Linked DNA regions of Saccharomyces cerevisiae S288C. The protein of the gene in region 2 interacts with the protein of the main gene of each other region in a biochemical or structural test. Each region holds a gene or a part of one and is shown on either strand. Other genes may lie near its edges.

Region 1 (5,523 bases), on a different chromosome or scaffold from region 2:
CAGGTGTTGGTAAAACGTCCATAGGTAAATCTATCGCTAGAGCTCTTAACAGGAAATTCTTCCGATTTTCTGTAGGCGGTATGACGGACGTGGCAGAAATAAAAGGTCATAGGAGAACGTATATTGGTGCCTTACCTGGCAGAGTAGTTCAAGCATTAAAGAAGTGCCAAACTCAAAATCCTTTGATTTTGATAGATGAAATCGATAAGATTGGACACGGCGGCATACACGGCGATCCGTCCGCGGCATTGTTAGAAGTATTGGACCCTGAACAAAACAACAGCTTCTTGGATAACTACTTGGATATTCCTATTGACTTATCAAAAGTGCTTTTCGTTTGCACTGCTAACTCTTTGGAAACTATTCCAAGACCTTTACTGGATCGTATGGAAGTCATTGAGTTGACAGGATATGTTGCTGAAGACAAGGTTAAGATTGCCGAGCAGTATTTAGTTCCAAGTGCCAAGAAAAGCGCTGGTCTAGAAAACTCTCATGTTGATATGACAGAAGATGCAATAACAGCGTTAATGAAGTACTACTGTAGAGAAAGTGGTGTAAGGAATTTGAAAAAACACATCGAGAAAATATACCGTAAAGCAGCCCTACAAGTGGTAAAGAAGTTGAGTATTGAAGATTCCCCAACGTCATCAGCCGACAGCAAGCCTAAAGAAAGCGTTTCTTCCGAAGAAAAGGCGGAAAATAACGCCAAAAGCTCATCGGAGAAGACTAAGGACAATAATTCGGAAAAGACAAGCGATGACATTGAAGCCTTAAAGACCTCTGAAAAGATCAATGTTTCCATATCCCAGAAAAACCTAAAAGATTACGTTGGGCCTCCAGTCTACACTACAGACCGGTTATACGAAACAACTCCACCAGGGGTAGTTATGGGGTTGGCGTGGACTAATATGGGAGGTTGCTCACTTTATGTAGAATCTGTCCTTGAACAACCTTTACACAACTGCAAGCATCCAACATTTGAAAGGACCGGGCAACTGGGAGATGTTATGAAGGAATCATCAAGGCTTGCTTATTCATTCGCCAAGATGTATTTAGCACAAAAATTCCCTGAGAACAGATTTTTTGAAAAGGCGTCTATCCACTTGCATTGTCCTGAAGGTGCTACCCCTAAAGATGGTCCATCTGCAGGTGTCACTATGGCCACTTCCTTCCTTTCCCTAGCATTGAATAAGTCGATTGACCCAACGGTTGCGATGACCGGTGAATTGACACTTACCGGTAAAGTTTTACGTATCGGTGGGTTGAGAGAAAAAGCTGTGGCCGCTAAAAGATCTGGTGCCAAGACTATTATTTTCCCTAAAGATAACTTAAATGATTGGGAGGAACTTCCAGACAATGTAAAGGAAGGGTTGGAACCTTTAGCTGCTGATTGGTATAATGATATATTCCAAAAATTATTCAAGGATGTGAATACGAAAGAAGGTAATTCAGTATGGAAGGCTGAATTTGAGATTTTGGATGCTAAAAAGGAAAAGGACTAACTTTTCATCTAAATGGATTAAATACCTGTTTAAACATTCTGTAAATATTTAAACATAAACATCAATTTTATTACACAATACTAAATTCTTTCTTTTCTTCGTGAAGTATGTATGTGGGAAACCCAAGATGGCGGAATCGCGTGTAATATTATTTATCATATGCCTTTTTTAGGAAATCTAATTACTTACCGAAGAAAATAGGACAACGAAAAATTTCGAGAAACGAAACCAGAAAGTAAATGGTGAATATCCTATAATCTACACATTTTGGTACAGTTTACTTAATAATACTCCACACACCTCTTTGCCTCTTTTCTAAGAAGTATAACACAACTACAATATAAGTGATGTCTGATAATAGAAGACGTAGACGTGAGGAAGATGATTCGGACTCAGAAAATGAGCTACCGCCATCCTCACCTCAGCAACATTTTAGAGGGGGGATGAACCCAGTTTCATCACCTATTGGTTCTCCAGATATGATTAACCCTGAAGGTGACGATAATGAAGTTGACGATGTACCAGATATTGATGAAGTTGAAGAACAAATGAACGAAGTAGATTTGATGGACGATAATATGTATGAGGATTATGCGGCTGATCATAATAGAGATAGATATGATCCAGATCAAGTTGACGACAGGGAACAACAAGAACTATCTTTAAGCGAACGTCGCCGCATTGATGCTCAACTAAATGAAAGAGATAGGCTATTGAGAAATGTTGCCTACATAGATGACGAGGACGAAGAACAAGAAGGTGCAGCGCAACTTGATGAAATGGGCCTTCCTGTGCAAAGACGAAGAAGGAGAAGGCAGTATGAGGACTTAGAGAATAGTGATGACGATCTATTGAGTGACATGGACATTGACCCATTAAGAGAAGAACTTACTTTAGAATCTCTGAGTAACGTTAAGGCTAACAGTTACTCGGAATGGATAACACAACCTAATGTCTCAAGAACTATTGCCAGAGAGTTAAAATCATTCCTGCTGGAATATACAGATGAAACGGGTCGTTCTGTATATGGTGCACGTATTAGAACATTAGGTGAAATGAATTCTGAATCTTTGGAGGTTAATTATAGACACTTAGCGGAGTCCAAAGCCATCCTGGCACTATTTTTAGCTAAATGTCCAGAAGAAATGTTGAAAATATTCGATCTCGTGGCTATGGAGGCAACAGAATTGCATTACCCAGATTATGCCCGTATTCACTCCGAAATTCACGTAAGAATCTCTGATTTTCCAACAATATACAGTTTACGTGAATTGCGTGAGTCTAATTTGTCCTCTCTAGTACGCGTCACTGGGGTGGTGACAAGAAGAACAGGAGTCTTCCCTCAATTAAAATATGTCAAATTCAATTGTTTGAAATGTGGCTCCATTTTGGGCCCATTTTTTCAAGATTCTAATGAAGAAATTAGAATCTCATTCTGTACAAACTGCAAATCAAAAGGTCCCTTTAGAGTCAATGGAGAAAAAACTGTGTACCGAAATTATCAAAGGGTTACGCTCCAGGAAGCTCCCGGAACCGTTCCTCCAGGCCGTCTACCAAGACATAGAGAAGTCATTTTGTTGGCGGATTTGGTAGATGTATCCAAGCCAGGTGAAGAGGTAGAAGTTACCGGCATCTACAAAAATAACTACGATGGTAACTTGAATGCAAAGAACGGATTCCCCGTTTTTGCAACAATTATCGAGGCAAATTCTATAAAAAGAAGAGAGGGCAATACAGCTAACGAAGGCGAAGAAGGGTTGGATGTTTTCAGTTGGACTGAAGAAGAAGAACGTGAATTTAGAAAGATTTCTAGGGATCGTGGTATAATTGATAAAATTATATCATCGATGGCACCGTCTATCTATGGTCATAGAGATATTAAAACTGCAGTCGCGTGCTCATTATTTGGAGGTGTTCCAAAAAACGTCAATGGAAAACATTCTATTCGTGGTGATATCAATGTGTTATTATTAGGTGATCCAGGTACTGCCAAATCTCAAATCTTAAAATACGTCGAGAAAACAGCGCATAGAGCGGTCTTTGCAACTGGTCAGGGTGCTTCGGCTGTCGGTCTGACAGCATCCGTCAGAAAAGATCCTATTACTAAAGAATGGACCTTAGAAGGGGGGGCGCTAGTATTGGCTGATAAGGGTGTTTGTTTAATTGATGAATTCGATAAGATGAACGATCAGGATCGTACATCTATTCATGAGGCTATGGAACAGCAAAGTATTTCCATTTCCAAGGCCGGTATTGTTACTACATTACAAGCGCGCTGCTCAATTATTGCTGCGGCAAATCCTAATGGTGGTAGATATAATTCAACCTTGCCTTTAGCTCAGAATGTTAGTTTGACCGAGCCTATTCTGTCTAGATTTGATATTTTATGTGTTGTCAGAGACCTTGTTGATGAAGAGGCAGACGAAAGATTGGCCACATTTGTTGTCGATTCTCATGTAAGATCTCATCCAGAAAACGATGAAGATCGAGAAGGCGAAGAGCTTAAAAATAATGGCGAATCGGCGATAGAACAAGGAGAAGATGAAATAAATGAGCAGCTTAATGCAAGGCAAAGAAGACTTCAAAGACAAAGGAAGAAGGAGGAAGAGATCTCGCCTATTCCACAGGAATTATTGATGAAATATATTCACTATGCGAGGACAAAAATATACCCTAAATTGCATCAGATGGATATGGATAAGGTTAGCAGGGTATATGCGGATTTGAGAAGAGAAAGTATTTCTACAGGTTCGTTTCCAATCACAGTTCGTCATTTAGAATCTATTCTAAGAATTGCAGAATCTTTTGCTAAAATGAGATTATCTGAATTTGTGTCTTCTTATGATTTGGATAGAGCTATCAAAGTTGTAGTTGATTCCTTTGTTGATGCCCAAAAAGTCAGTGTTCGCCGCCAACTCCGCAGGTCTTTCGCAATTTATACCTTGGGTCACTAAAACTTTGTTATTCCTACGAATATCTGGATATGAAGATAAAAAATTCTCTGTCTCAATCCATGTATTGGCAATCCTATTTTCAATATACAAGTTTCCTTTATTTTTTGTATAATTTTTATACACTGTATCTTTAATTTCAATTCAACTAAATACTCAAGATCTAGTCAAAAGTGCATTATTTACTATCCAAAAAAAAAAAAAAAAATGAAGTAAAAAAGAAGTAACAAGACCGAATAAAAAAGGCTCATTACTGAAGTATTATATTCTTATTTTTGCCTTTTAATAATATACATTTACTTTACAGTGGAGGGGATAAGAAACATGATAACTATCAATTAGCAGCGCTAGGAGCTTCAGTAGAGGTTCCGGTAGTAGTTTCTGCGGGAGATTCAGTCGTTTCTTTTTCTTTTTCTTTTTCTTCAGCGCTTGGAGTAGCCTTGGCATTCGCATCAATACCAAAGATCCTATATAATAGCTCATGAGTATCTTCTTTACAAACCATCAAATTGATACACTTGTTGCCTTTCCACACAGGCAAGAATAAGTTTTCTTTGGCAGGGTCATTTCTTGACACATCAATAAAGGCGCAACCAGAGCTTAATTTTGTCATCTTTTCAACAAAATCATTATCGATGTTCTTCGAACGAATGTCGTCAAAGTTAGGGAAAGATTCGATTAACAAGTGTTTTAACATCTCTAAATTAGCTTCAACAATTCTATTAGATTTCATATGGTGTTTCATTATTGGCAATGATTCACTTTGGATTCTCCATGAACATTCGATATCACTTCTTTGAGAGACAAACAATTTTACACCAGAATAAATAATCTTCAACCTATCGTCATTCGCTTGAATAACATCCTTCAATGCTGGACACACAGTGTAAACCACTCTTGTTGGTTCACCAGTGGCGTTACGCACTAAACAAGTGTTTCTGTCGAAAATATTATCGATGCCGTAGAAATCCCAACAAACTTTTAAAGCTTCGTGCTGTGGATCAACGAAAACAAAAGGCTCTTCGTTCGCGTCACGTGGTAGTCTTTCTTTCTTTTGGACTTCTTCTACC
Region 2 (5,036 bases):
ATGAAATTGATGTAATTTTTGATCAGTTCTGTGTTCAGTCTGTATATTGCCCACAAACTTTTTAGTTCTGTGGTTTGAGAGGTGGTTAAATAAAGGCATCTTTGTTGTAACTCGGTTTCCTGCACCACTATGATTTTATAAATTTCCTGCAGTTTTTTAATAAACGTCTGATTTGGCTGCGCCGAAGGAAGTTGCCTTATCATCGGCGGGGGTGAAGCAGCAACTACAGGAGCTCTTCTAATATCGGATAAAGTTACTTGGCTTTGGGGTTGCGAATTGCTATAAATACCATTTGAAGCGACTAATGGCTCGTCAGCTCTCATTTGTGGATTTGCGTTATCTTCATAAGTGTCTCTAGAAACAACCTTCATATTTCGAGCAAGCATAGTTCTATTCACATAATATGGAGATTTAGGAACATCCATTGTTGGAATAGAACTGGTCTTAACTTGTGGTGTCGATTCCATAACTTTGCGAGAGATGCTCGGTCTTCTAGATGCATCATCAGTTTTGGAGGGTGTGTTTTGTGCAGAGATCTGGCTATTAGTTATTCCATCTATAAATCCTTTCCCTACGGGATCTACAATTCCAGGCACCCTTCTTTTAGCGAACGACGACTCTGGTGTATCATTGTGCGACGAAGAACTATGTCGCTTTTGATGAAGAAATGCGGCGGAGGTCGGGCGCATATCGCTCACAATATGAGTGTGGTTGTTGTTGGATCTAGAATAATCAGTTTCATTACTAGGGTCATCATTCGCCGGCACCATTAGGTCAACCATATTATGCGATATCCGTGGTCTTGTTGTTATGTATTGAACCTAAAAATAACGTTAGATGCTGCCAAAGATCGGCCAAAAACGACTGTAAAGTGAAGTAAAGAGTACAGAATGAAGGATGCGCCCAAGAGGGAGATGTTTTCGGAGCGTTTTGTGTCTCACAAGATGTTCTCTTCTGTTCTTTCTCACTTTAAGGATTGATTCCCTATATTGCAACCAAAATCACTCAATTTTTCATCATAATTTTTCAATCATTACCCGCGCCATTGTCCATCAAAAGTAATACCATTTTGGGGCCCTGAAAAGCACACCAATACTTATTTATATTATCTCAAGATCGCTGGCACTACCGTCAGAAGTTTCTTTAGTTTCCTTGGATCCGAAATGTTTTTGCCAAACTTCTTCGCGATGGCTTCTTTTCTTGAACCATTCGTTCTTTGAAGGTGCGAGAATGACTTTTTCCTTCTTGTAATGCAAGAGATCGTTTATAACAGTTTTTTTTTTACCGAGTAAGTTGTTCTTAGGTTCGCTCCCTGATACAGAAGACTTGAGTACTTGGGAAATTTTTCCATGAGTGGGATCGAATCCTAGGCGTTGGATAAGCCCTGTCTGGAGGGCACTTTCTGTGGTTCGTTTCATTTTCTGTCGCTCTCCGACGCTCTTATCTTCTAATCCGCTGGATTCCCTCCTTCTCATAATTTTGCCTAGTTCGCGGCTCAGTGCTGTCGATTTCTTAGTTTCTATTATTTTCCTTCTTTTATTGTCTAAGTTTGCCAGCATATCTGGATTCTGAAATTTCTCGTCGAAAAATGCTTTGGCAGAATTACTATTCGTAAAATTGTGAGAGCTCTTTTTAAGTCTTTCCTCCTCTTCTGACAGGCGCTTACGAGTACCTTTGATTATATTAAACCCGTTTTCCCCTTTGGCCTTATATAGGCTTGGTTGAGAGTCCACTTTCGTAGGCGCGCCCAAGGCGTACCCACCATTTAATTCAATTCTTTTAGCACTTGTTCCACGAAATTGCACTTCTCTATGGTAATCGCAACACTTATGAAGAGATATGTTAATGGGAGAGCCACATTTTTTGTGAGTCTTTTTATTCACTATGGGACACCAACCTAAATCTCTACTTGAACCTATCTCCAGGATACATTTGAAGTCATGACTAATTCGAAGGTTGAAGGATTTGATAAAATTTCCTCGCCCTGAGGGTCTCCATGGTAGTACTTCTGGGTTTAATATTGCTATCACATCACCCAGGCGAAGATTATAATATCTTTCTACACCCTTTTTCCCGAAGATATAAACATCTAGTGTATGCTGAAAGTCCGTTATGGTGAACATGAAGAATTTGACTGGCTTTTCAGATGATGTAAATTTGATGTCCGATTTGTGGCTAATGAGGCCTACGGTGGCCCAGTTGGCGTATTCAGGCTCTTGAAATTTAGGTGGGCGAATTTTAGCAAAAAGTTTGCCCAACCGAAGGATTTTGATCTCATGCAAAGCCCGTTTTAAGTCATCTTCAGGTATGTACCTCTTTTTAACCCAAAGATTTGAAAAGCTTTCTAATTCGTTTGTGATTATCGGCACATATTTCTTCTCATCGGTACTGAACGTATGTACTCTTGCATTCATCATGCTTTCAAACTTGGCAATTTGTTTATCTTCGTTCTTCTTTGCGTTTTGAAATTTCTCCATAAAGTATGTGGTTGTACTAGCTGGTGGTTTTGGTTGCTGCTGTAATTGAGATAACCTTACTTCATTAATATTCGAACCTTCGAATTTTGTGCCTTGTTGTGTAGCATTATGAGACCCCACTTTCACACGGTTTTTGGTAGGAGATTGAGGTACCTCGATGGCTTCAAAATTAGGATCCTGGGGTTTCTTAAATTCTTGCTTTCTTTTTAATCGTTCCACTAAGGCCTGCCTCTTTCGTTCCATAAATTCAAGTTCTCTCGCGATGGCTTGCTCATCCTCTTCATCAGAAGTAATATTATTGTACGGATCAACCGCTAAAATTTCACGAGGATCATTCATTTCTCCACGAACCAAGTGCTTAATGTGCGTTGAAAATGTGAGGTTGAATTGACAAACTTACGTTCCTTTATCTTCGATGGCCTATAAAGTTGATATTTCTTAGTGGTGTTAGAAAAGGTGGGTTTGCGCATCCAAGAAACCCGCGTGAAAAAAAATGGCAAATAAACCCAAAATTTGTTCATACTTAACTACTAGTACGGATGTGTCATAAATCACTTTATGTCCTCTGTAATGACATTAGTGACATTTAAAATATGTAGATGTTTCATATTTATATAATTACATTGTTTAATATTACATCACTCGTTGGAAGCTTGATCATTTGCTGGACTCTCTTTAACCTTTTTGGTGTCTGGATCAGAAGATGTACCGCTCTCAATTGGCCGTTTAGATGTACTTCCAATTTCTGTTATTTTTGCTCCATCGGTGCTATTGTTAGTTAGATCGGTTACGTTGGAAAAGTTAATCGCCGCTTTGACTGCAACTTCAGGTTGAATATTGAGTGTACGTAGGGGGGCATTCGTATTGATATTAGATTGGGATGCTGTGAATGGGTTCTGAAAACTTTGAAGAGATGATGTATTAGAGGAGAAGAATGGCTTACCAAAACTAAAGGTTGGAATGGCCTTGTTACCAGCAGCGCTACTATCCACGATATTATTTTCTTTATTTGTAACCATTGACTGGCTGTCATTGAAGGAAACGTCATTCTTCACATTCTTCAATTGTTCTTGAGGTTTAAGGTTTTTTTGATTTATAAAGCCAGCGACAGCCGACGGCCTCTCAGAATTCCCCTTCGATGGACTGTTCCATAATTCTTCTTCGGCATCTTCCCCGCTACCTTTGTTATCAAGAAACGTTAAGCTTCCCGCGTTTTCTTTCAATTTCTTTCGAAATTCTTCTTCTAATTCTTCTTTACGCTTACTAATGATCTTTTGTATCCTTTCCTCGCTTGGTAACCTTATTCTTTTCTTTAAATTCTCTTCTGCTTCCTTAATTCTCCTTAACGTTTCATCTTCATATTCCTTTAGCCATTCCTTTTTCAATGTTTCGATATCTTTACTGTATTCTGCTTCTGAGCTTGTACTCTTATTTAAGGTCTCTTGTAATTTTTTTTCAAATTCCTTCGTTCTTTCGTCAATAATTCTGTCCTTTTCTTTCTCCATGTTAACTTTCAATTTCTCAAATGCATCAGATGAGCTATTCGCAGTTTTGAAAATTTGTAACTCCTTTTTGAGTGATTCAATTTCCTCCATTAATGTCCGATAAGTGTCCTTTTCGTGATCTCTCGAGACGTCTTCTGATTGGAGTTCATGTGCTTTGAGCTTCGTATCTAGATCAATAACTTTAGCGTTTTCAAAGTGTAGATCTTGTTCTAATTTGTCTTTAATTGCTTTTAATTCGTTGAGTTCGTTAGTTAAAGCAGCTTGTTGTTTCTTAGATGCGTCCAATTTTTCATGAGCCTGCTTCTTTAGCCTATTGAATTTATTTTCCAAGTCAGCGTTTGCGTTCTCAGCGCTTGAAAGTTTTCCCTTCAAATCACTAATCTCATTAGTTAGCTTTTCAATGTCTTTTTTTTGGGCATCTTTTTGTTGTTGAGATAAGTCCTGGTACCTCTGTTTACATTGCTCCATTTCACTTTCATATACTAAAATTTTGTTAGAATTTATCGAAACTTGTTCTTTTGTTTGTATGAGATCACGCTGTAATCGAGAAATTTCTTCTTGCCTATCATTTAATTGTTTATAAATTTCCCTGTTTTTTTCGGTTACGTTTTTGAGACTCTTTTGTAAGATGGCATTATTCTCTTTTAAAATGTTAACTTGAGTAACTTCTTTCGTGATATCCTTGAATTCGTCAATAATAACTGCAGAGCATTGGTATTCCTTCTCCGATAAAGTCTGGGTTCGTTGCAGGTCATTTATCGTTTTTTCTAAACTATCGTTCTTTTGTTTAACGAATGCCAATTCTCTCTTACAGGTGGTTAACTTCGTCTCTAAAGAATTTCTTTCATGACGTAAGTTTGAAAACAAAGAAACTAGCTTCAAATGATCTTTATCGCCATTATTTGCTGCTGTGTCATCAACCTTTTCAATCAATACCGAATTTTCAACACGCAAGGATTCCGTCTGTTCAATATTAGATATCAATTCTCTTTCATAATCAGCCTTTTCCTCCATCCATTTCCTTTCATGTTTATCGAGTAAATCCTGAGCGCTA
Region 3 (4,765 bases), on a different chromosome or scaffold from region 2:
ATATCAACTGATATATATACACGTGAAGCAAAAAAGGCATTGCCTCTGTCAGAGAAACGAACTATCCTCGTTGCTATAGTGTCTTCTGCACTTATCGCGTAGACTTTCTATTGGCACTCTGTCATGGCATTTAATCTTGTACACATTCTTTAATTCTTCTTGCAAAAGAAGGTACTCTTCATGCAAATGATGACTTTGGAGTGAATTGACTAATCCTGAGTCGTTCCAGAAACTTTTTAAGGCGTTCGTTTCATGATTTATTATGTCATCCAACCGTCTCATATTAGGTTTCGAATTTGTTACAAATTCTCGCCTTGATAACCTCTCCAGGTCTTCTTTGTTGCATCCAGGTACACTCTCTAACAACATTGAACCATTGCCCTCCGGATTCGCACTGTCATATTTATTAGCCTCTTCGCCGCACATGATGTCAATATCGGGTCGATAGCTGTCTATGCCGTCTAGATGGCCCACCTTATGAAACACAAGACAATGTGCTGCCCTTTCGGCTTTCAAAAAACTGTCAATTCTACTTTCCCTTAGCGTATTGCGCTCACAAAACGGTGAATAATCGTATTGCTTTTCTTCCTCGATGTGGCTCAAAGTATTCAGATAGTCGACTTCGTCTACGTCCATATTTATCCCATAGAGATCATCTGCAGTCCTCTCCTCTAGTACTTCGCCTGTTATGGGCATCGAATCATCATTTATTACCCTTGTCGACCTTTTCCGTAGCGGTGTGGTAAAATTGTTAAAGTTGGCTTTGTTGAACCTTGGTGTTTTCCAGGGCGGCAATGACGGTAGTTGAAACAACTTGCCTTCGTTCTTATCACCATTTTGGTTCATCTTACTTTGTCACAGCTATTTCTTTCCTTCCTGAATTTGTCCTTCCAAACCTAGTTCCCTGTTCTTAATTTCCTTTTATTTAGGTTTTTTTTTTTGTTTTGTCAAGAGCCGCGCACAAAATATGGTATTATTATAGAAAAGTTGGACTTAAAAGCTTGAAAAAGCTTAGATTTTATATTCATATGCTGGTATATATGTACGACTAAATAATATAAATTTGATTATAACAATCCACTCAAGGTCAGCTTCTCCAGGAATGGTGAAAGATCTTCACGACGTATTTCAATTATGGAACTTTCAAAATTATCTATTCTCACTTTAGCATCCGTTTCTGCAGTTATTTGTTGAAACGCCATGCTGAAATTATTCAAAATAGGTTTTTTTGTGTGTATCGTGTCTAGTCCGCGAGGATACCTAGGTGTTAACCCAGCAACCAAGTAAGTGTCCGTATTTTCATCTATGCTGGCAAGCACCATGGGCAACAATTGCTTGTCTTCAGATTCCGCACAGCATTCTATGAGCCAATTTCCTAATCTTAATAACGTCAATGGGTTTCTGTACAAGTCTAAATCGGGTCCGTCTTGTAAGACGCATAATCTATAAATTCTTAAATGCTTGATTAATTTCTTCTCCAATATAGCAACCCCGGTATTAAAAATTGCTCTCTGTAAGTCTTGTGCTAGTTGAATGCCACGGTTTAATAGTTCCACCTTTCTGTCATCTAGAGCATCCCAACTGAGCCAAAAATTCGAAACCCATCTTTTTCTCAAATTCGTCAATTTTTGAGCGCTGTTATCTTCTTCTTCCTCTCCATCTGTATCGTCATTATTGTCATTATTTATTTTCACACTATCCTTATCAGTTGAATTACCTACTTCCAAAAGAGCTGTTAGTGCTTCGACAAATTCACTGGCACTTATGGACCCACGATATCCAAGAGTTCTAACAAACCCATCTCTAATTATATCTTGCAACCCATAACGATCCAAATTTTTGTCAAATATTATCCCAAGTTCTCTCTTAATAGAATGATCCATGTATAACCATGTTTCTTGTGCAGTACTTAATGGTATACCCATTCTAGCAAACATCTTATGCAATCTCTTTTTCCCATTTTCATTCCATAGGGATAGTTTGGCATTGACATAGTTAGAATAATAAAAACTGTCGTACAATGAAGAATGCCTCAGTAAGAAAAGGTAGTAATCCGGTTGGATGTTTAACGTCAATGTATCAGGGGTCTTTACTGAGTTTCTACTGCTTGGTGTGAGACGCTTCACTTCATCTTGCAATAAGGGGTATAATCGATTGTAAACTTGAGCATATGCTATATCTAACGAGGTCGTACCAAGTATATTCAACCACAGGTTTGAAAGATTTGTTTCTCCGATAGCAGACAATAATGAATAGATTTGTGCAGATATCGAGTTAACCACTGTTGTGCCTTGAGAATAGTATTCCTCCAAAACACCTTCATATTCATGGATTTGCTTCTTTCGTTGCTTTCTTTTTGAGAGATCATTCGGTCCTATTGAAGAATTACCTCTTTTATTAGATATTGTCTCATCTTCGTCTTCTTCGTCCTCGTCTGTGACTTCATCGGCATCAGTTGCCTCATCGTCACCCCCATTATTATCGTTCTCGTCACCTGAGAGCTCATCGTCACCACTCTCCTCGTCCAGTTCAAGCAATTTATAGTATGCTTCTTTTTGTTCGCCTAATGTGTCATCCACCGTACCGTCGTCAAAACATTGGATGATTTGTGATCCAAATATATTGTCGAGATTCCACGGTCTATGAGCATCCAACACGTAGATGTCTCTCCTGAAACTTTGTTCCCCCGACTTTTCATCTGTATCGATAACATACTCTTGGGGATCGATTTCTAAGAAAGCCTCCAGATCAATAACGCCTCCAAACCCTACTAATAGCAGACTATTTATATTGTCATCCAATTGAGAATAGTGGCGTCGTAATTCAGAGTACCCAAATATCGGTACTATTTGAGATTGTACCAATTGTTTTTTGAATAATAGTGACAACATCTTCGTCGCACACAGCGCATCGATGTTAAGACAAGAAACGAAAATGACCAATTGACATGATGAATGAGACGATGAATTCCTTAAGATTTTGTTGTAGGCTTCGCTAAACTGGCTGATTCCATAATACATGTGCGAGAGTATATTCTTGTTATTATGTGCCTTCTCTCTAGTGTTTATTGCTACACTTTTATTGCTCTATAGTGCGTTGTATAAAGTAGCCACAATGGATTGTTGGCATTACTACAGCTTCATTATTTACTGAAATTTCTTAAAACGCGTTAGATGATATGTTGAAAAAAAAATACGCGTCGTGAATGAAACTTATTAGGTTTTACGACTAGTTAAAGCAAGAGAGAGAAGATCGAATTGACTAAATGTCTTCACTTTGAATTTATTCTAGTAGGATTCGCATGGCTTTTTCATAATAAAAATCTCGTTTATTTATGCTTTTGGTTGGTTTTCCTTTGATAAATGCGGCCCTTGCTTTGTTTGTGGTTGCAACGAGTTCGTCAAATGATAAATTGACGCTTAACACAGACGCATGGGAACCACGTAATTGAATTAATGTTTTCTTCTCGAAACAATTGCAATGTGACTTTCTTGTTAGGCAATGTGAGATGAAAGATGGCCTTTACCTTTGCAGATGTTTGGGTGTGGCTCTGAGCTGTCCTTTATAATTATAGAGATAATTTTGATGAAAGCTCAGAAGACCTTTAATGACGAAAAATAGGCATGGTTTGCCAGGCAAAAAACGACCAAATTTTACTGTAGTATGAGTCAAAGTCGCTGGAGTATCGTTCTCATCTTTGCATTGTTTATTTTTGGCAGCACTGGAGTGAATGCCTTCTTCAATTTCGGTCATCATCAGCAACAGCAACAGCAACAGCAACAATCATATGAAGATCAAGTTTTAAATAACCCTTGTGATGGGTATTTGTGTCCGGACACCCTAACGTGCGTTGCACAGCAGAAAGACTGTCCTTGTCCCTTCCCTAAATCTCAGTTGAAATGTGTCCTTCCTGATAATAAATTTGTTTGCATATCCAAACCAGCCACACACAATGAAAAGTTTAGAGCAATATATGATGACCCTGTCAAGGGCCCCAAAGCAAAGAACAAGGGGTTTAGGGATTGTGGATGGGTATCAGATGCTTACAAAAACCATTGAAATCTGTATAAAAAATACATACACATACATATATACATACGAAGGATTTATCTTCTCATTGATATTCTAGTCTCTATTTCTTCCGGGAACCCATCTCTTATACAATACTTCACCAACTTGAAAACTATTGAACAATTTAGTAAAGTTGTTTGATTTCCATAGTGCTATCGCCTCCTGTTCCGAGATTAGTCTCTCCACGTAGCATAACACAAACGTCTTCTTTGCGCCGCCCACAACACGGGCTATGCTAGAATACCACGTATAATCTTTAGAGACGTCGTGGTCAAGACCCATAACACAAAATTCAGCGTGTTGAAATGGTGGCCCTCTCTTATATAATAAATAATCGCAGCCGAATTTTATACCAGATCTTACGCACCAACCGTGTGATCTGTAGTGATGGTATATAACGTATGATCTGACAAAGGAGTGAATATCTTTATATTTGGCATCGAATTGAAACAGTTTCCCTGCCAGGCACGCGGGAGATATGTCAAGAACAGGAAGTGCAAAAGTTAAAAACATAGCTTCCACTGGCATTAGTTCTAGTGACTCTAGTGGCAAAAGATCACCGTTCTCATCAAGAAGATTGTTGTCTTCATCTCTTAAATTTGATTCGGAAATGTCTTGCTGTTGTGCAACGATGCCCACGTCTTCTGTTTGTTTTAGTTTAAATTTTCTTAATGATTCTCGTTGTTTCTCAAGG

What was found. The genes of interacting proteins can lie anywhere in the genome.
Region 1: the proteins of MCM10 (region 2) and MCM2 form a complex in vitro, tested with the Saccharomyces cerevisiae proteins (5 studies listed by BioGRID).
Region 3: the proteins of MCM10 (region 2) and CDC45 form a complex in vitro, tested with the Saccharomyces cerevisiae proteins (4 studies listed by BioGRID).

The regions. Positions count from the first base shown.
Region 1 is NC_001134.8:173,853-179,375, reverse strand, and holds MCM2 (MCM DNA helicase complex subunit MCM2), read left to right. Parts: upstream 1-1,849; coding exon 1,850-4,456; downstream 4,457-5,523. Other genes in the region: ATP-dependent Lon protease PIM1, read left to right, coding at 1-1,502; NCL1 (tRNA (cytosine-C5-)-methyltransferase), read right to left, coding at 4,788-5,523. UniProt on the Saccharomyces cerevisiae protein: Acts as a component of the MCM2-7 complex (MCM complex) which is the putative replicative helicase essential for 'once per cell cycle' DNA replication initiation and elongation in eukaryotic cells.
Region 2 is NC_001141.2:59,913-64,948, forward strand, and holds MCM10 (Mcm10p), read right to left. Parts: upstream 2,817-5,036; coding exon 1,101-2,816; downstream 1-1,100. Other genes in the region: ESL1 (Esl1p), read right to left, coding at 1-782; MLP2 (Mlp2p), read right to left, coding at 3,116-5,036. UniProt on the Saccharomyces cerevisiae protein: Required for DNA synthesis. Required for entry into or completion of S phase. Involved in DNA replication and seems to participate in the activation of the pre-replication complex (pre-RC) and in transcription elongation.
Region 3 is NC_001144.5:342,922-347,686, forward strand, and holds CDC45 (DNA replication initiation factor CDC45), read right to left. Parts: upstream 3,021-4,765; coding exon 1,068-3,020; downstream 1-1,067. Other genes in the region: APC9 (anaphase promoting complex subunit 9), read right to left, coding at 49-846; LCL2 (Lcl2p), read left to right, coding at 3,664-4,059; tRNA splicing endonuclease subunit SEN2, read right to left, coding at 4,126-4,765. UniProt on the Saccharomyces cerevisiae protein: Required for initiation of chromosomal DNA replication. Acts at the origin of replication. Also has a role in minichromosome maintenance.